Linked DNA regions of Daphnia pulex. The protein of the gene in region 1 interacts with the protein of each later gene in a biochemical or structural test. Links are inferred from orthologs where the notes say so. Each region holds a gene or a part of one and is shown on either strand. Other genes may lie near its edges.

Region 1 (4,486 bases):
CTGGAGCCAAAGTTCGTAAGCGTACTGGTGAAGGTCTCGCGACTGAATTTCATTGAAAGAATTCCGACAGCCCATTTCCTTAAGAAGCACTACTAGCATAGACACGGCTAGTTGCAATTCTTCAGGTATTACTGCATGCTTGGAGGCAGCCGAACCCGTATTCTTCCCTTCCTCTGCCATTTTCGTTTTGGCAAGCATCATTCGAGATGTGGCCCTCTTGGACTCGGGCCAATAAAGATCATAGCTATCTTCTTCTTCGGTACGCCAATAATTTTCCTATTATTAAATTTGCATTCATGTCTGCGCATAAAGGAAAGTTAAGAAAAAAAAGTGTCTTTACCTTCAACCAATCCATAGCCAAGTTGGCGCCTAAGAAATTCGAGAAAAAAATTTGAGATGAAGAATTTTTAAAATTTAAGAGTTATCGTAGAAAGGCGGTATGTATACCTGGCCTCAAGATATCCAAAGAAGGCATCTTGGCGTGGGTAGCCTCGTGCCGAATACTGACAAGCCAGTCGGGAATCCCTGCCATTTCGGCAATGGCGGATATGGGTTGATGTCTTAAATCTACTTGTCCTAAATGAGATATCAAATTGATGAACCTGTGAACAAAGATTTAAATAGGTTTAAGTATTGAAAGATACTTAAACATGTAACTTAACATAGTAAGAGTTACCTAATGATGGCAGTGGAGTACATTAAAACCACATCGTTTTCAGACAGGGCACTGTTAGGATCCATCTTGTATTCCTCATCACGTAAAATTGCTTGTAACAAATACAAAGAGCATTCAACACCTAGAGATAGCTTGTCAACCCTAATAAAAAATGTAAATAAAAATTAGTTTATCAAAATTATCATTTTATAAATGAATTACCTAGATTTCCACATTGTCATTTGATTCAGTCCCGCCCATCTCTCCTCAATTTTGTTAGAGTACACTTGTTGATAAACCCGTGTCCACTCTTCCCTAAAGACAATTGTTCATGAATAACAAGCAAACTACTTTTCATAGTTATAAAATAAATATTTAAATAATAAAAGCATAGGTAATTAGGTACGAAACATTTAACATGTACGTGTACGTTAGCTTTTGGCATTTGAACCACGTGACTTCTATTTTAAATGTTAACCGTAAATTAACCTATTTGACAATTTCTAGTATTATAGAACTTAATAAAATTTTACATGGAAATCCATGGGACTATTCGTTTCGTATTGTTGGACATCAGGAATTCTGTGGAAAAATTCGAAACAAGAAATTTCGAAATTGAAAATGAATAACACACAACAGCGTCTATCAAATCAACTCCTCGTTGTTTTTTTTTCTTTTCTGTTTTTATCGTCTGCTTCAGTACCAACATTCTCCGCTAAGGGGACGCTCTCAATCAATGCCCTTGAAATTTTGTATTCACGTGAAAAAACGAATTTTTATTTGTGAAATCGTAAAACCTTTGTTTATCTTTTAGATGAGAAATATGAAACAGTTGGTTGATAAAACTTATTCAGAGAACAGGATTTGAAAGGATCACGCTCAGCGTTTGAGTTAAAGGAGCCTTTGAGGTAAAATTCTCTCTTCAAAGTGAAACCGCCAGAGGGGCAACTAGGCTTATAGTCTGCGCTGGCTTCAGTGTTATTCCGAGCTTTTTCGTGACGAATGTTGTTTTGTCCGTGTGTGGACTTAATGTTGCATCGAAATTTTAATGTTTGTTCTACGTATTATTGCTAATGGATAACCGTTCAAGTAAGTAGTAGTGCTTTTAAAAATTGAAAATCTTTCGTCAGTAAAAACTCGAGTTTTCTTTGGGGCCGTCCTGTGCTCGCTCTAAAAAAAAAAGTTCTTCCAAGATGGCGGAAAATGCCAAACAGTCTTGGAGGCTACAGTCATGGTTCTTTTTCTTTCTCGTGTTGTGATTAGTTTAGACCTGCGTGACTCACGACTGTTGATATTTTGCAAAATGTGTTTCTAGTAAATTTTAATTCTGTTGTTTGATCTTGCAGGTCTGTGATTATTGCACACCCTGACCTTGGATGAAATTTCTCAAAGTGAATGAACTCGTCAATTTATGAGTACTACAGTGAGTGACACAATGTGGATCAGTGCAGCTTTCTGGCCATGTCAGTTTCATTAAAGACTATGGGCATGCCAGTATGAGCCCTGGAGCTGAAACTAGCATGAGCAACGCAGTTGGAAAAGCCGATCGGACAGGCTATCACTTGAAAGCCCTGCAAGAAATTCGCAACTCTCTCAGACCCTTTGCCACCGAGAATGGTAGTCCTCTGCCTACCATACCTAAAGATGGACACATTTCCTACCAACAACACATTTACCCTTATTCGACTTCTTCTTCTGGATACATAGAGGTAACTTATATCAATCTCTTATGCTGTCTATGTATTATGTTTTCTATGAGATACCATACTCTTTAAGTACAGTTCATGTAACACGAATAGATTGTTAGGTTGTGCAGATATTTCAGTTGCAGTAGTTTCATGTCAAGATTAGTTTGCCCATGAAAATTATGTACCATTGCATGTGATGATGCAACAATGATAGGAATGAAATTCTCCTACGAGTCTGGCATTCTTCCGGCCAAAAGGAAGGGCAAGTTATGCCGTCGGATAGGTCCGGACAAACGGTCGTTTTTTTGTTGTCGTTTTTTTTATTCTAAATTTTTCCTCCTTTTCTTAATCTGAAAATCCCCGTACTGTCTAGTGTCCATCAGGTATATATGGAAGGAGGGGCGTTTCAGGGGAATTTTTGCGTCCGACTGTGAGGTTACTGATTGTGTTTGTTTTGAAATTTTCGCATTGTAATGAACCTCAGAGAGTTCGGTCAGATAAGAGATTTATGAAGGTGATGGCAAACCGAGCACGCGCCTGAGGGAGTCCATTACCGCGCCAAGTATTTCTTCGATGTTGGGTCGAAAAAGAATGCCGAGAGCGGCCACCCGAAAATGATGGTTGGCGTGTCGTAGCGGAAGAAACAAGAAGAAAGGGGAGGGATATGGACCGAGCAGATGGTTCGTGGCATATGCCTGTGCTGGAGGCGCTCCTCTTTTATACGACTAGACGACCGTTGCAACACCCCAAAAACTGATATCACACATACTGATTGACTAGCGTGGCTTGAGAGATGGACTCGTAACCATCAACAGGACACACAAAGAGAGAAAGAGCGACGGTGTGACGAATGGCTCCAGAATTCCGAACGCACGCCTCATTGACCTTGCACCTTAGTAGACGGAATTCCTATGTGTTCCATCAAACCACACGCACACATTCCGGGAGACATTGTATGGCCTACATTATCGATACCCGCCTGTTGAATGGCCGCACAGAGCGAAAAGAAGAAAATAAGGGTTCGGGTTTCGACCGGATCTATTCGTTTTTGCGGGATTGCATTCCTGTCGGTGTGTAGCAGAGAGCCGCCAGTTGGTCTGTTTGTGCTGGCTGCGCTACTGATGGCGTACGCTATTTGACAGCCCTCCCTCGTTCCATCTTGGTGATGGTCTACACTCTTGCACATGTGTGTGTGCCTTCAACCGAATCTGGGCTATTTTTGGGGCGGATGAGGTGGTTGGAAAGAGAAAGAGGGAGTTGTTGGCATTCTTGAACGGTTGTTAGAAACCCGATAGCTAGACCCGCTTTCACTATACACTCGTCCCTGGCCTCCTCCTCCATATCGTCTGTAATTGAATTTTTCTTTTGATGGCTGTCTTGAAAAGAGCCCTTTTTATTAGAAATGCCAAGTCGAGAATAGAAATAAACAGCTGTAGAGGCATGAAGGAAAGTTGACTTCGTTTAACCTTTTATTTTTCTGATTCAGCATGAAAATGGAAGCGACGGCTACTTACAGCGGTCCGACGGCCAAATTCTGCAACGCTCCGCTACGACAGGTGAGTCACGCAGTCAATATTTTTTTCTGATAAGATTTCAAGGGTGATTTCAAATCCGCTAGCTGATAATAATAAATTGGTCACGCAATAACGGTTATCTTTGCATTCCTCACAGGAGCGTTTCCGCCTTCATCGGGGCAGCAGGTACACCGGAAACCGAGTTTTGAGCGAGAACCCAGGAGCAGTCCGGCTTTTGATACCAGTTCGGCCGCTTCATCTAACCGTTCTGATAGCCCAGCCTATTTTAATGGTCTGGGACTCGTTCGTGGTCACGTAGCACCCGAAGCACCGCCTTATTCGTCAAGAAATGCCTACCCGTCGTCGTCAGATCCGCCACCTCCACCACCGCCGCCTCGAGGTGCCACTCCGCCACCTCCTCCTTTGCCCCCACCTCCATCGGCTGCATCTAAATCAACAAACAGCCAACATTATCCTAGCAACTTTCAACAGATGCTCAAACGAATGTCACCCGTGCCTAATGCACCACCTATTCCGGGACCCCGTGGGACCAGTCCGGCTCCAGCTCTTCCGCCCGGTCGGCTTCCGCCCCTCGTCGTTCAAAATGGACCCCAAGCACAAGCTCAGCT
Region 2 (4,034 bases), about 7.2 Mb from region 1:
ACCAGGGGTTAGCTCATTTTCATCTATGACGTCTTCTTCTTCCACTTCAACCGGATAAATTGCCGAGCGGATAGGTTCCGGAACAACAACAGGTGTGATTTCGTCAGCCTCGAAAGGATCCATCCCTTATAGAGCCGTTTGTGTCTAAATAACTGAACATGAAATTCAATCAACACTCAGCCTCCCCAATCAGTTGCTGTCCCCAACTTTGATGATGATAAGAAATGTTCTTTTTTCTTTTATCGCACACTTGATTTGATAAATTTAAATCTTTTGTAATACGTGCATCTCTATCGTATACACTACGACCAAAATGTAGTAGGCCTGTACGATAAAACTAAATCCATCCATAAGTCATCCGTCGCTCAAAACATTTTAGAATAAATTATTGTTTATCCGTAGGCCCATTTTGATAGAGGAAAAATACAAAAGACAAGCTACTGGCGTCTGTCCTTTTAACCAAAAAATCTAAAAAACAAAAGTCTATACACACGACTGACGGGGGGCAGCAGCTATAGGATGACGCCACAGCGGCGCCTCCAATCTATTGGCCATTCCGACCGAGTCGCGTCGCGTCGTCGCACCTGTTGGTTTGCTGTTTGGAATCTCGGAATTTGTTTTCACCTTTTTTGGGGTCTTTGGCTGGAGAAATAAACATTTTTTTTTCATGATGGTTGAAAGAAAAAACAAAAGAAAAGAACTTGTGTGTGTGCATTGCGATTCGGAAGGTTAAAGGATGACGGGGGGTACAGGTGTCGAAGTGCACACACACACATCGGGAGTCGGAGGGAAAAGGGAAATTGCTGAGCTTCTTGGAATAACATAAGAGTCGCTGCTGGACATTGGCGCCGGGTTGTTGATGACTTTTTCCTTGACTCTCTCTACACTTTTCCAGCGGAGGTGTAGACACACACACACACCACGGGTTTCTTTTTATTCCCTGATGTTGTTTTTTGATACACATTTTCTTTTTCCTTTTTTATTTTTTGTTTTAAAAATTTTTATTTGTGGGAAGAAGCTCCTGGTGGTGGGCCATCATCTCAGTGGGAGATCAATCCCTTTGGAATTTGATACTTGTTTGAATATAGAAAAACAAAAGGGAAAATGTTCACACTCGATGAAAACGAATGCAACGCTCTTGTTTGATTAACTCCTTTTTTTTCGGGTGGAATTATTGAGGGATTTACGAGTTGGATTCCATCCAAAAGTTGTGGGGTTTTGATTTCAAAAAATGAATTATTTCTGGGAAATTTGTTTGTGACGAGGGGGGGGAATTCCGAATGGACTTCCGCCCTCGTCGCCATCTGTCGTTGGATTTATTCACCATGTGGTGATGACATCATCTATCAGAAGAATTTTGATGACAAAGTAAAATATTTTTAGGTTGAGCAACAACGAAAGTCTTTTTCCCGTCTGAGGAACTGCCAACAAATCTGTAAAAATCGACGACATCTTACGTTTTTATTCCATTTTTCAATCGCCATTATTGACTGTGATCGCTATTCAAAATTACCCACCCTCCCCCGCGCCGTTGAAATTGGGCACTGTCGTTGGGGAGAGAAGTGAAAAAAGAAAAACAACAAGATGAGTTTTCTGTTGTAAGTTTTCATTTGTTGTTTATCAGTCAGAAACGAACTAGCCCAGAGAGAGTCGTTGTGGTTGTTGGTCTCTAATCAATTGTTTTGTTTACATCCATGGCTGACGGCCGTTTGCTTCGCAATCGCAGTGGGAGCCGTTCGTCCAAGACGTTCAAACCCAAGAAGAACATACCTGAAGGAACTCATCAGTATGATTTGATGAAACATGCAGCTGCCACACTTGGCTCAGGCAATCTGAGATTAGCAGTCATGCTGCCAGATGGAGAAGATCAGAATGAATGGGTCGCTGTCAACAGTGAGTAATCACATTCTTGTAGATTTCCCGAATCACGACTAGACATTCTCTTTGTCTCCTTCCAGCTGTTGACTTCTTCAATCAGATCAACATGCTGTACGGCACAATCACAGAGTTTTGCACAGAAGAAAGCTGCCCCATCATGTCTGCTGGCCCAAAGTACGAATACCACTGGGCAGATGGTCAAACAGTTAAGAAACCCATCAAATGTTCTGCTCCAAAGTACATTGACTACCTCATGACCTGGGTGCAGGATCAGTTGGATGATGAAAATCTATTTCCATCCAAAATCGGTGAGTCATTTTATTGATGCTGATAACAAAATGGTAAACAATAGTGACACAGACTGGACTTTGTCTTGGCAGGTGTTCCATTCCCCAGAAACTTTTTATCAATAGCCAAAACTATACTGAAGCGCCTTTTCCGTGTCTATGCTCACATTTATCATCAGCATTTCCCCGAGGTGGTACAGCTTGGGGAAGAAGCACACCTCAATACCTCTTTCAAACATTTCATCTACTTTGTCCAGGTCAGTAAAGTTTGATCGAAGAAACAAATATATTTTAAAATCTTGTATTAAACGACTTCAATTTGAAATTTATCAGGAATTTAGTTTAATTGATAGAAGGGAGCTGGCTCCTCTCCAAGAATTAATTGACAAGCTCGCCAACAAAGAAGGAAGATGAACTAGTTGTCGCGGATCGTGTTGTTGCAGCCACTTCATATCATTTTTTTATTCATGAGGCCTTGAAACTGTCAACTAGAGTCTGCTGTCAATTCGTTTTACTTTTTCACAAGGATTTATACGTAGGATCTGCCCTTCCATCAATGCCACCGTGCATCTTTATCACACACACACACACACGATTGATAACTCCCCAAAACTTCACCAGAAGGATCGGTCTATCTTTACAAATGTATCCTATTATTGATCGTCACAAAATTGTTTAGGGAAAGCGTATGATTCGAAAAGAAAAATTTTAAAAAAGTGCTTTGTCCACATTGATGAGTGAGATCCCCCCCCCCCCCATAATCACGTCACATTTTTTAAAAGAAATCCTAGCGCGATGATTTTCCTTTTTGCTTTCATGATGATGGCGTTTTCCTCCCATCTCTGATGAAGTTTCCGAGATAAAAAAAAAGCCTCTCCCTTGTTAGACTGTCGGTGAAACAAAAAAAAAAATTATACTTTATATTATTATTATATAAATAATTTTGCGCGCAAGTTGAGAACGGCCACGAAAATGTTCTTGTTCTTTTTTGTTTGTTTACCTTGTAAGTGTAAATAAACAAGTCATGTAAATACATATACAGACATCGGTACACAGGATTCTTTTGGTCCGCGAAATTCCCTCGAGTATATTGGATCGTTTTAATTGGAAAATGAAAGATACAAGGAAAAAAGGCGTATAAAACTCGCGTAATAATAATAGGAAGGCACAGCAGTTAAAAAAGTAGATCGACGGTGTAGTTTACATGTTAGACTAATAAGTCAAAGAGTCTAGTTCCTTTTTAGAAAAATTAAAAAATTACAGGGGAACTATCGTCAGCGCTGCCAGTGTTCGAAGAATTTGCGTAACATCTTGCACAGCTGAGTTGGAGCATCCGACATGATATCATGGCCGGATTCTGGTATCACCTCAAGGAAAGCACGTGGAATAGTCTAAAAGAAGGGTACACAAAGTTAACTAGTTAGTTCCAGTCGATTGAGTTTGAAATGAACAAGAACGACTTACTCTTTCCATTTCGCACATCTCGACCAAGGAGACAAACGGATCCTTTAGTCCGTGAACGAGGAGTGTGGGCATCACTATTTTGCGGTGGAAGGCAACATCGCCTTCTGGCCACACCTGACCAACTGCCAGGTTGTGACGGACGTAGGAAGGAAGACTTTGAAGGTAGACCGAGTCGTGCAGGCAACTTTTCCCTGTTGTTAAGAAATGACAAAATAAGAATATTGAAACGTTGTTCGATTGGGTGAGATCGACAAGCGTTACCGCGAGGCCCGTAGAAGACATTTCTCCTCATTCCGCATGGAAGAATGCTACGAAGGCAATGAAGCAACGAAGCTGGAAGCTTCCATTCGCGACGCCACTGGACGGGCGGTGCGAGCGGAGTTGGGCCACCGCTGCTCAGCAAAG

What was found.
Region 2: of the proteins of serine/threonine-protein kinase Warts-like (region 1) and MOB kinase activator 1B, one has a biochemical effect on the other in vitro, tested with the Drosophila melanogaster proteins (2 studies listed by BioGRID). The link is inferred for Daphnia pulex from reciprocal best matches to the Drosophila melanogaster genes wts and mats.

What each region holds. Positions count from the first base shown.
Region 1 is NC_060026.1:6,948,797-6,953,282, forward strand, and holds the start of serine/threonine-protein kinase Warts-like, read left to right. Parts: upstream 1-1,395; 5' UTR 1,396-1,744; intron 1,745-2,001; 5' UTR 2,002-2,151; coding exon 2,152-2,364; intron 2,365-3,829; coding exon 3,830-3,899; intron 3,900-4,014; coding exon 4,015-4,486. Other genes in the region: uncharacterized protein LOC124206172, read right to left, coding at 1-276, 341-369, 448-602, 677-817, 878-970, 1,189-1,364. UniProt on the Drosophila melanogaster protein: Negative regulator of Yorkie (Yki) in the Hippo/SWH (Sav/Wts/Hpo) signaling pathway that plays a pivotal role in organ size control and tumor suppression by restricting proliferation and promoting apoptosis.
Region 2 is NC_060026.1:14,194,106-14,198,139, forward strand, and holds MOB kinase activator 1B, read left to right. Parts: upstream 1-1,330; 5' UTR 1,331-1,584; coding exon of another isoform or gene 1,585-1,598; 5' UTR 1,599-1,694; coding exon 1,695-1,893; intron 1,894-1,958; coding exon 1,959-2,186; intron 2,187-2,258; coding exon 2,259-2,422; intron 2,423-2,498; coding exon 2,499-2,579; 3' UTR 2,580-3,216; downstream 3,217-4,034. Other genes in the region: uncharacterized protein LOC124203813, read right to left, coding at 1-123; protein ABHD8-like, read right to left, coding at 3,440-3,556, 3,630-3,820, 3,891-4,034. UniProt on the Drosophila melanogaster protein: Coactivator of Warts (Wts) kinase in the Hippo/SWH (Sav/Wts/Hpo)signaling pathway, a signaling pathway that plays a pivotal role in organ size control and tumor suppression by restricting proliferation and promoting apoptosis.